2 linked regions of the Saccharomyces cerevisiae S288C genome follow. The protein of the gene in region 1 binds, or shares a complex with, the protein of each later gene. Each region holds a gene or a part of one and is shown on either strand. Other genes may lie near its edges.

Region 1 (5,377 bases):
AGAATATGGAGCTCAAACTATATCAAATAAAGGATAATAATACGTTGAACAAAATTTATTTAGACAGAGAGAAAGTAGATAGAGTAAATTTAGTTTCGGAAATCATGGAATTGAGAGAAACCATAAGACGACAAATAAAAGAGCAGAAACGAGTGAGCATCGATTTCAGCTGGTTAGACGAGCTTCCAGCTGTGGAAAATAAGCAACCATTCAAAGAACATATCAACCACAGTTTGGACACCTTGGGGATAGAAATGTTCAACTTCGTGAGTACCTCACGGATTTTAGATTTAAAGCTTGATCAACCTTTGGCAGAAGATGAACTCTGGCATGAAAGAGATCATTCTTACATTTCGTATTTAAAGCGCAAGAGGAAAAATATACGACTCAAATCTCAAAATGTTGTTACATATTACAAATGACTGAGTGATTCTAGCAGGTCTATAACATTCAAATACAGTAAATAAATGGATACAACATTCCTTTGTTTTGTGTAAAGTTTAAGTTTCTCTTGCTTCCTTCGTCTCGTTAGACACTGTTTTCTTGGGCCATTTTGGAGCTAGATCGATTTCATCCCTGGGGTATAGCCACTCTAAGAGGAAAAAAAGCATGTACTCTACAATTCCACATAACAGATAAAGATGTTTAGCCCAGATTCCATCTCTTTTGTAAAGATTTGCTACCATTTTCATCCAATCTTTATCATCAGCGGAAGAAGTAGAAGATATATTAGTATATATCTCTACTGTCCTTTTGGCTACGTCCATCCAGTCGTACATTTTAGACACGCTATCATGAAAAGAGGAAGTGTCCAAAGCTTTACTTCTTATGATATTGATAGCTTTATTTGTTGCTTGAACAAGGTCAGAAACGGATGTCTGTTCTGCATAAACAGTCATCTCATTTGGTAACACTTCGGGAATTCCTCCGACTTGTGTCGTTACAATTAGCAAATTACAAGATGCGGCCTCAACTAGAATTGTACCAAATGCTTCTGTTAAACTAGCGTGTAAATATATGTCACCTTGACATAATACATCCCTGACTTTCTCATGTGGAACAGAGCCTAAGAGTTGCACACGTTTTTGTAGTCTATGACTTTCAATCATTTGTTGAAAATCTATGAACTTTGGACCATCGCCCGCTACTATAAATTCGACATCTTCATGTGAGGAACAAACTTTCGGAATTATGCGAGTAAGTAAATCGGACCCTTTGTTTGGAAAGAGCCTTCCGATGACCACGATCACTATCTTATCCCTACTTTGTTTTCTCTTGGTGCCACCAGTAGGATCCCTTGGTTTGAAATCTTCGCTCACCACTGCGTTGGGAATTACTGAGATTATATCAGGACTTAATTCTGTTCTAACAATCATATTTTCTTTGCATGTATTAGAAACACATATAACCCGATCTATGTTTGTCAAGGTAAATGTTAGCAACTTATTCACCCAAATCGACGTTAAGTTATTAAAACCGTAGAGTGAATGGTCCGTGAACACAGTTCTCAATCCCATAGTATTAGCATGAAGAATTCCCTCGTGAGCGAACGTGGAAGCGCTACCATGAGAATGAACAATTTGGATCTGCTCTCTGAGAAGAATATTCCTTATTATTGGAAATGTTGAAAAAACAGTGGGGAAAGTGGTTTCTCTGAAAATCACAAAAAATGGTACGTGATAGACCTTTAGACCGTTGGTAAGATGTCGTACGCCGACTCGATCTTTGTAAGCGTGAGTTATAATGACGACAGAATGGCCCAAATCGATTAGTTTCTGCGATAAATGATATATATGGAATTCGACTCCACCTAACTGTGGATAAAAAAAGTCGCACAGCATCCTATTTTCATTGTTATAACTCTCAACTTTACTGGTTAGTATCAACAACAAAAGAGATCTTCTTTAATGTATTTGGAACACATGCTGTGAGCTAGACATACGCTATATTGAAGCCCATTGTTTTATATAATAATGTTAGAGTTAGCTAAGCTGTAGTTTATAGTATCTCGTATTTTTGCATAAGTTTTTTGAGGCTATTACTGGCATCGATTATTTTTAAATCGTATCAATGAAATTTTCTAGCTCGACAGTCTCGGGTTGCAAACGAAAAACTTAAAATAGCAGAATGAGATTATTCAATGAAAAGACCCTGAGATTTTTTTCAAGCTGTTATTTTTGGTATACATTGTATTAGACAAGTTCGCATATGAGTATACAAAGGATATGGTGAATACTAGGGGCTACACTACTCTTCCGAATGTTGAAGAACCAGCAAATAACTCACAAGATGAGCTAAACTCGCAGGACTTTGAGCAAGCTATAGGAATGCCATCAGAACCCCCGGTATATGTGGAAGAGATGGGGATGGAAGAACCGCAGGCTCCGGAAGCCTTTAGTGAGAAAGTCCAGCGATTTCGTATGTGTTTTGAAAATAACGTGGTGATTCCAGTAAAGAAAAATGTAGTGGATCCGCTAGCACAAATGATTTCCCTGGCCTCTGAGAAATTCGATTTGTTCTTAAGTAAAATAGGTAATGTTATGGTAATGAGGAGAATATTTTACATCATGATGATGTCTATCATTGCAGCGTTGATTATTGCGAGTGATAGGTTACCGAATGGAAAAGCTCGAGGTTCAAATGGATCATTCTCGGACCATGATCTCCTTTTACAGTATGCTCGGAAATCGATAGACCTTTCAAAGATAGAAAGAGATTTAGAGTATATTAGTAGTATGCCCCACATGTCAGGAACAAGTGGTGATGCCGCTATTAGACATTATATTAAAGAGTCGTTCGACAAAAATGGTATAAGGCTAGCTGGGGAAGAGGAGTTCATGGCGTATTCGAATTACCCAGGAAATGTCTCACTTCGTGTATATTCAAAGGATGATACAGAAGGGTTTGATATTCCCTTAAATGAGGAGAACTTTAACCCAATGAGCCATAATGGTCAATTGAACAACATACCGGTGATTTATGCTAATAAAGCATCGTTGGACGATATGGCTTCTATGCAAGATCAAGGGCTTTTAAACGGTGACTTTATTTTACTAGTGCATTACGGAGATTATGTTTTCCAACAAATGTTGACTGCTCAAGAATATGGTGCGAAAGCAATTATCTTTATTTCTGAGCCTTATCAAGACAACAAAGACGTGATACAAATGAAGTCAGTTGCGTTGCCGCAGTATGGTACTGGTGATGCACTTACGCCTGAATGGGAAGGATCAATAAGAGATCCTATCGATGCTACGGAAGCCAAGTGCCTACCCAAAATTCCATCCATACCGATATCTGCCAATCAAGGAGATAAAATACTAGCTATATTATCAGACACTGGCGTAAAGTTTTCTAATAATTTATTCAGTGGGTCGCTTAACGATTGTCGACTTGACCTACTAGTGCAAACAGCAATTAGGGAACGCCACCCGGTTCACGATATAGTTGGTAAAATTGAAGGATCGGAACAAGCGGGCAGGGCAATTGTTATTGCTGCACCGAGGAACTCTGCTAGTTATGGCACTATGTATCCTTCTTTTGGAACCGTCGTTTTGCTGTCTCTGATCCAATTATATCAAGAAATGGTTTACAAATTTGACTGGAAGCCTCTAAGAAATATATATTTCATTTCCTTTGGGGGCTCTGAATTTAATGAAGCGGGAGCCACGGAGCTGATGGAAAAGAGAACAGAGGCATTGAAGAGTGAAATATACACCATTATCGACGTCGGCCAAATCGGTATATGGGATGATAGTAACAATTTAGAGATACAATGTCATCCGCTACTAGTAGATCTTTTTCAAAAAAACATGACAAGCCGTAAATTTAACGTTAAAGTGGATAATGTTCACCAGTTCGGCGACTGGACGCCGTATCTAGCGCAAGGGATTCCAGTTGCGATCATTTCATCTCCAGGAGTCATGAATAGAGAACATCCGATCTACACAGTAGAAGACAAATTCGATTTCATCAAAGATAAACTAAGAGACAAAAAGAAGGGAGAGGTACTTTCTGAGATAATGCTATATCTTGTCGAAAAATCACTCGAGCTCATTGACGATCCATTCATCCCATTCAGCATATCGAACTACGTAGATTTCCTTTCAACTACGTTAAAAGACCTCCAAAAAGAATGTCCTGATACGGTAAACTTTGACGAAGTCTTTTTGGGCACAACATTGTGGGAAAACACTAAACTGCAGTTCGAAAAATGGAAAAGCGAATGGACAGAGCTTATGTATGGAGCCGGTACATATATAGAACCCACTATCATTGCCATTAATCGTTGGTCATGGAACTACCTACTTTCCCTAATAGGCGTTACCCAATGTTTGGAGGAAGGGTTAATGGATAGAACCTTTTACAAGAACGTTATCTTCGGGCCAAAACTCTGGGTCGACAAAGGTGACCCACTTCGTTCATGGACGTTCCCTGAAATCAGGGACACTATTGCAATCAAGGACTGGAGCTCTGTGCAGGTTCAAGCTAACACACTCGGCACAATTTTACAAAATACAGCACGCTATTTTCTTGAGAATAAAAACCTTCATGGAATAAACACGAACGAATTTTAGTTATCGGTTGAAAGAAAATTACACATCGATTTATGCAGGCAATCAACTATAGTATACACAACATATACTCCTATGACTTGTAGATTTCTTGCCTAGGAAGACTAAATACGTTTAATTCTAAGATTAGGAGCCCATGCATTTAAAGTTGCTTTTTGCCTGTGCGGGACAATTTTATTAGTCAGTATGGACATCTCCGCGGGGAATTTTTTTATCGGCAGAGCTGTTTAGACAAAGGATATAGATAGTATAAGGTGTTAGTACACACATTTCAACATAGTTATATTAGGAAGATTGCCACAAATTTCCTCTTTTTTTTTTTTTTCTTGTTTTTATTACACCTCCGCCCCTTGAATACCTTAGAGGTTAAGAAGTGAAATGCCAAGAGAAAGCCTAATAGGACACACAGTATTTACCACGGGAAAAGCGCGGGATATTTGAATCAGCTGGAGATTATTATGTACGCCATGTATATTTTTAGAGACGGCTTGTAACGGGTGCCAAGATATTCCATATTTTTATGTCTCAAAAAGGAAGAAAAGAGCTACGAGCACGTGCAAATATATGAACTTCAACACCTGTAGAAACTCGATAGTGAATAAATCAATCACAGTGCTTTCCTTGAAATAAGCTTCTGTCTGAACTTTAACAGTGATTTTTTTTTTATAGAACAGGCCTTTTCATCTGCAGAGATATGTCTAGTCTCGTAGGTTTTGACTCGTAACTTTGACTTCTGCATCTGGATCGTCAAAGCAACCCATACTTGACTTGATTACATTAGCATCAAAGAAAATCGTGCCAAC
Region 2 (3,299 bases), 190 kb from region 1:
AGGTTTCTCATCCGGGTGATATTATCACATAACCAAGTGCCAAAAAGAAGAAAACAGGAAGCTGCTGCTACCAAGAAACAAGTGACTTTAAATTAGGAGCGGTAGACGCTGAAACGCCTGTTTAACACGGCCGCAAATTGTACCCTATTGGCCAGGTAGTATTGTCTTGTGTTCAGTTTAAGGGGGCGTTTCTCTAATATTGGGACCCGGTTAAGGTGCAAGGGCCCATCAATGCATTCAAAAATCTCCTGAATGTTCAATTTTAAAGTTGTCGTATGATATGTGAATAATCTGTAGTGAAGCAAACTTAATCGACCGAACTGCCCTTTGGTAATTGCCCGACGCCTTTGCTTGTCAGGTTTCATGATAATTATTATTACAGTGACTCTATATATAATGAAATACCGTGGGGTCGAGGAAGAGGACAGGCAATAAGCCCCTGCGGGCAGAAGTCGTACCCCTCCCTTGCTTATCCGAAGGAAATCATGTTCTTGATTGCGCTAATCCAATATTGGTGTTCTTGCATCCCATGTACTTAGTAGATCGTTATCCCGTTTATGATAATTGATTTTCCAGTAGATGAACCACTTAGGTAAAACAGTAATATAAAATACTGAAGCAAAGAAAATCAACAGCATATAAATCCAACCTAGAGCAACATTCAAAAATGAGTATACAATAATATTTGAAATTATTGGTACTACCTTATTCGTCACCGATAAATAAGTGGGTAGAATGATATTCAACTGAATACAAATTAAAAGAAAACAGAATACGTCGATTGTGGTCGAAAGCCTCGATGATAGGACAGCAACAAGGGCGACAAGTATATTGGTGGAAAGGTTAGAGGGTTTATCTTTGGACTTTGTTGACGAAATAACGAAAATGTACCATAGGGTCAGCCAAAAAGACAATGTCCATATGGAATCAGATGCAGTTGTTTTAGAAAGAGATTTGAGGACTGGAGAGAGAGTCAACATTGCAAATGTGATAATCAGCGAAGACTTTACGTCCATGAATGAGGACAATAGAGGGTCGACTTTCGTCCTTGATATAATCAATGTTATAAATGAAAGGAAAATAGTTGGCGGAATAGGATCGAAGCCATAATAGTAAATATATGTAAAAGTGATGTAAATGAAAGAAGTGTTCAATATGGTTTGGTAGAAACTTATAAAATCCAACCTAATTTGAGCGCGAGCAGCTTCTGATAATTTTCTATCAGACTTCTGGTTACTCTCAGCCTTTTGTCTTGCTCTCAACTCAATAAAACTTGGATCTGTATAATTATCTGGGTACTCCTGTTTCAACCATAGTAGGCGCTTCCAGGGAGATCTTGTCATTGTACCTATTGAAAATAACCAAATATAAACTATGAAGTCTCTTTAAGGTCATACGAAAATTGAGAGGATAATGGACCTGCAACAGAAAGTTTGGATGCCTCTGATTATATTCACCACCGTCTAACAACAATACTTAAAGTGTGATTGTACCTTTAAATTGGTTTAAAGCGAAGAGGTAATGGAAAGTTGAAATTTTCATTTTTAGTTCATAAATTTAGTAGCCGCGAAGTGGTCTCAAGTTCGGATATCAAGATAATCAATAGCCACGGACACCTACTACCTGGCCTTCGCTGACATGTAATTGACATTGTTTTTGAAAAACCTAACCAAAAATTTACAATTCACTATCTTCATGAAAGATCTCCAGAAAAAAAGCTCAGTACGAAGGCAAATCACGAATGAAGACGATGAACGGTATGGGGAGGACAGCATCCATGACCTTCCCAGGACAATACCAAATGTAAATCCCTATATTAGAAATTCAGGATTTAGGCCATCTTATTCTTCCCAAATTCCTTCGACAAGGAGTCTATTCAATAACTATTATAACCGTTCAAGTGCTAACACAGTTGGTAATGACACAATAGATACCGATAGTGTTAGCTATAACGGAGTTGCCAAATTCCGGAGAAATAGCGTAGATATACCGCTACAGACACATAACAGACTGGAAGTACGGCCTATAATCGACAGACAAGACTATTTGTGGAGAGAAATAGATGCCCTAGATGACGTTAAAAGACAGGCGCAGGCAACAGAATTGTATGATCAGTTTCCTCCAGGGTTCGAGAACAAACTGATGCAATTAAGGCAAGCACATAGTAAACTACTTCAAGTCTTGAGGGACCGCAATGCTAAAATAGAAGAGGAACAACGTCGTGAAGTGGCGGTCGCAACCGCTGCTGCCATGATGACTAGAACGCCATCACCAACAGGAAAATCCGTCGGAGATGAAGCTACAAGCAACAACATGCATAGTAGCAGCGCAATTAGAAATCCAAATGGACCAACCGTTGATCCTGAAGAAGGAAAGTACATTCAAGAGCTGGTGAACACTATAAGGGAATTACAATAGTAGGGCCAAAACACAACTGATAGTAACAATCACCAAGAGATTCTACATTAAAAGTGTAAGAATTCCCACATAGGAGTGCTCTAATTATGTCATATATGCTTAATTTTCAAAATAAAATAGCCATAAACTGTGTTGTGACGCAACTGCAACTCCCAGATGAAATACGGTCCGGTAAAGATAGGAATATTCTACTCTACAAGCATGAATATTTTTTAACGCGGCGCAGTACTATACAGCATAACAGGTCTTCCACGCATGAGAAACTGTCCATGGCTAAATTAGTTCCTCACACAGAATTAGAAATGTGCTGTGACAATGGCACATACGTAGATAAAAGATAAATATAATTCAGAATGGCTGTGGCGACAACTATTATCATAGAGGTGTCCCATCGAGCGAGCCTCATTGGCCGGGTAATCGACATCAATATTGAACCAATCACGACGCTTTTTCTCTTCACCGCTCATTCGGACCTTCACCACAGGTTTGGGTAATTAAAATAGCAAGGGATTATAATTGCAGTTAGCAGTTTATGTTGACAAGTTTATACTGTGCTAGGAAGGGTTATATTTTATTAAAAGACTGACGAGAATTCAGTACCTCCTAAGTGCGCAAGAGATAAAATGAGCATGAGTATGGGTGTCCGTGGCCTAGCGTTAAGGTCCGTTTCTAAAACATTATTTAGCCAAGGTGTTCGTTGTCCTTCGATGGTGATTGGAGCCCGTTATATGTCTTCCACTCCAGAAAAACAGACAGATCCAAAAGCAAAGGCTAACTCTATCATCAATGCCATTCCAGGTAATAATATTTTGACAAAGACGGGGGTTTTGGGGACTTCTGCTGCCGCTGTCATTTATGCCATTTCCAATGAATTGTACGTT

What was found. The genes of interacting proteins can lie anywhere in the genome.
Region 2: SPT14 (region 1) and GPI2 share a complex: the UniProt entries of both Saccharomyces cerevisiae proteins name them as parts of the phosphatidylinositol N-acetylglucosaminyltransferase (GPI-GlcNAc transferase) complex.

The regions. Positions count from the first base shown.
Region 1 is NC_001148.4:215,212-220,588, reverse strand, and holds SPT14 (phosphatidylinositol N-acetylglucosaminyltransferase SPT14), read right to left. Parts: upstream 1,960-5,377; coding exon 1,943-1,959; intron 1,843-1,942; coding exon 501-1,842; downstream 1-500. Other genes in the region: NIP100 (Nip100p), read left to right, coding at 1-422; TRE1 (Tre1p), read left to right, coding at 2,226-4,577. UniProt on the Saccharomyces cerevisiae protein: Catalytic subunit in the complex catalyzing the transfer of N-acetylglucosamine from UDP-N-acetylglucosamine to phosphatidylinositol, the first step of GPI biosynthesis.
Region 2 is NC_001148.4:408,487-411,785, reverse strand, and holds GPI2 (phosphatidylinositol N-acetylglucosaminyltransferase), read right to left. Parts: upstream 1,344-3,299; coding exon 501-1,343; downstream 1-500. Other genes in the region: YPL077C (uncharacterized protein), read left to right, coding at 1,696-2,418; ATP4 (F1F0 ATP synthase subunit 4), read left to right, coding at 3,042-3,299. UniProt on the Saccharomyces cerevisiae protein: Part of the complex catalyzing the transfer of N-acetylglucosamine from UDP-N-acetylglucosamine to phosphatidylinositol, the first step of GPI biosynthesis.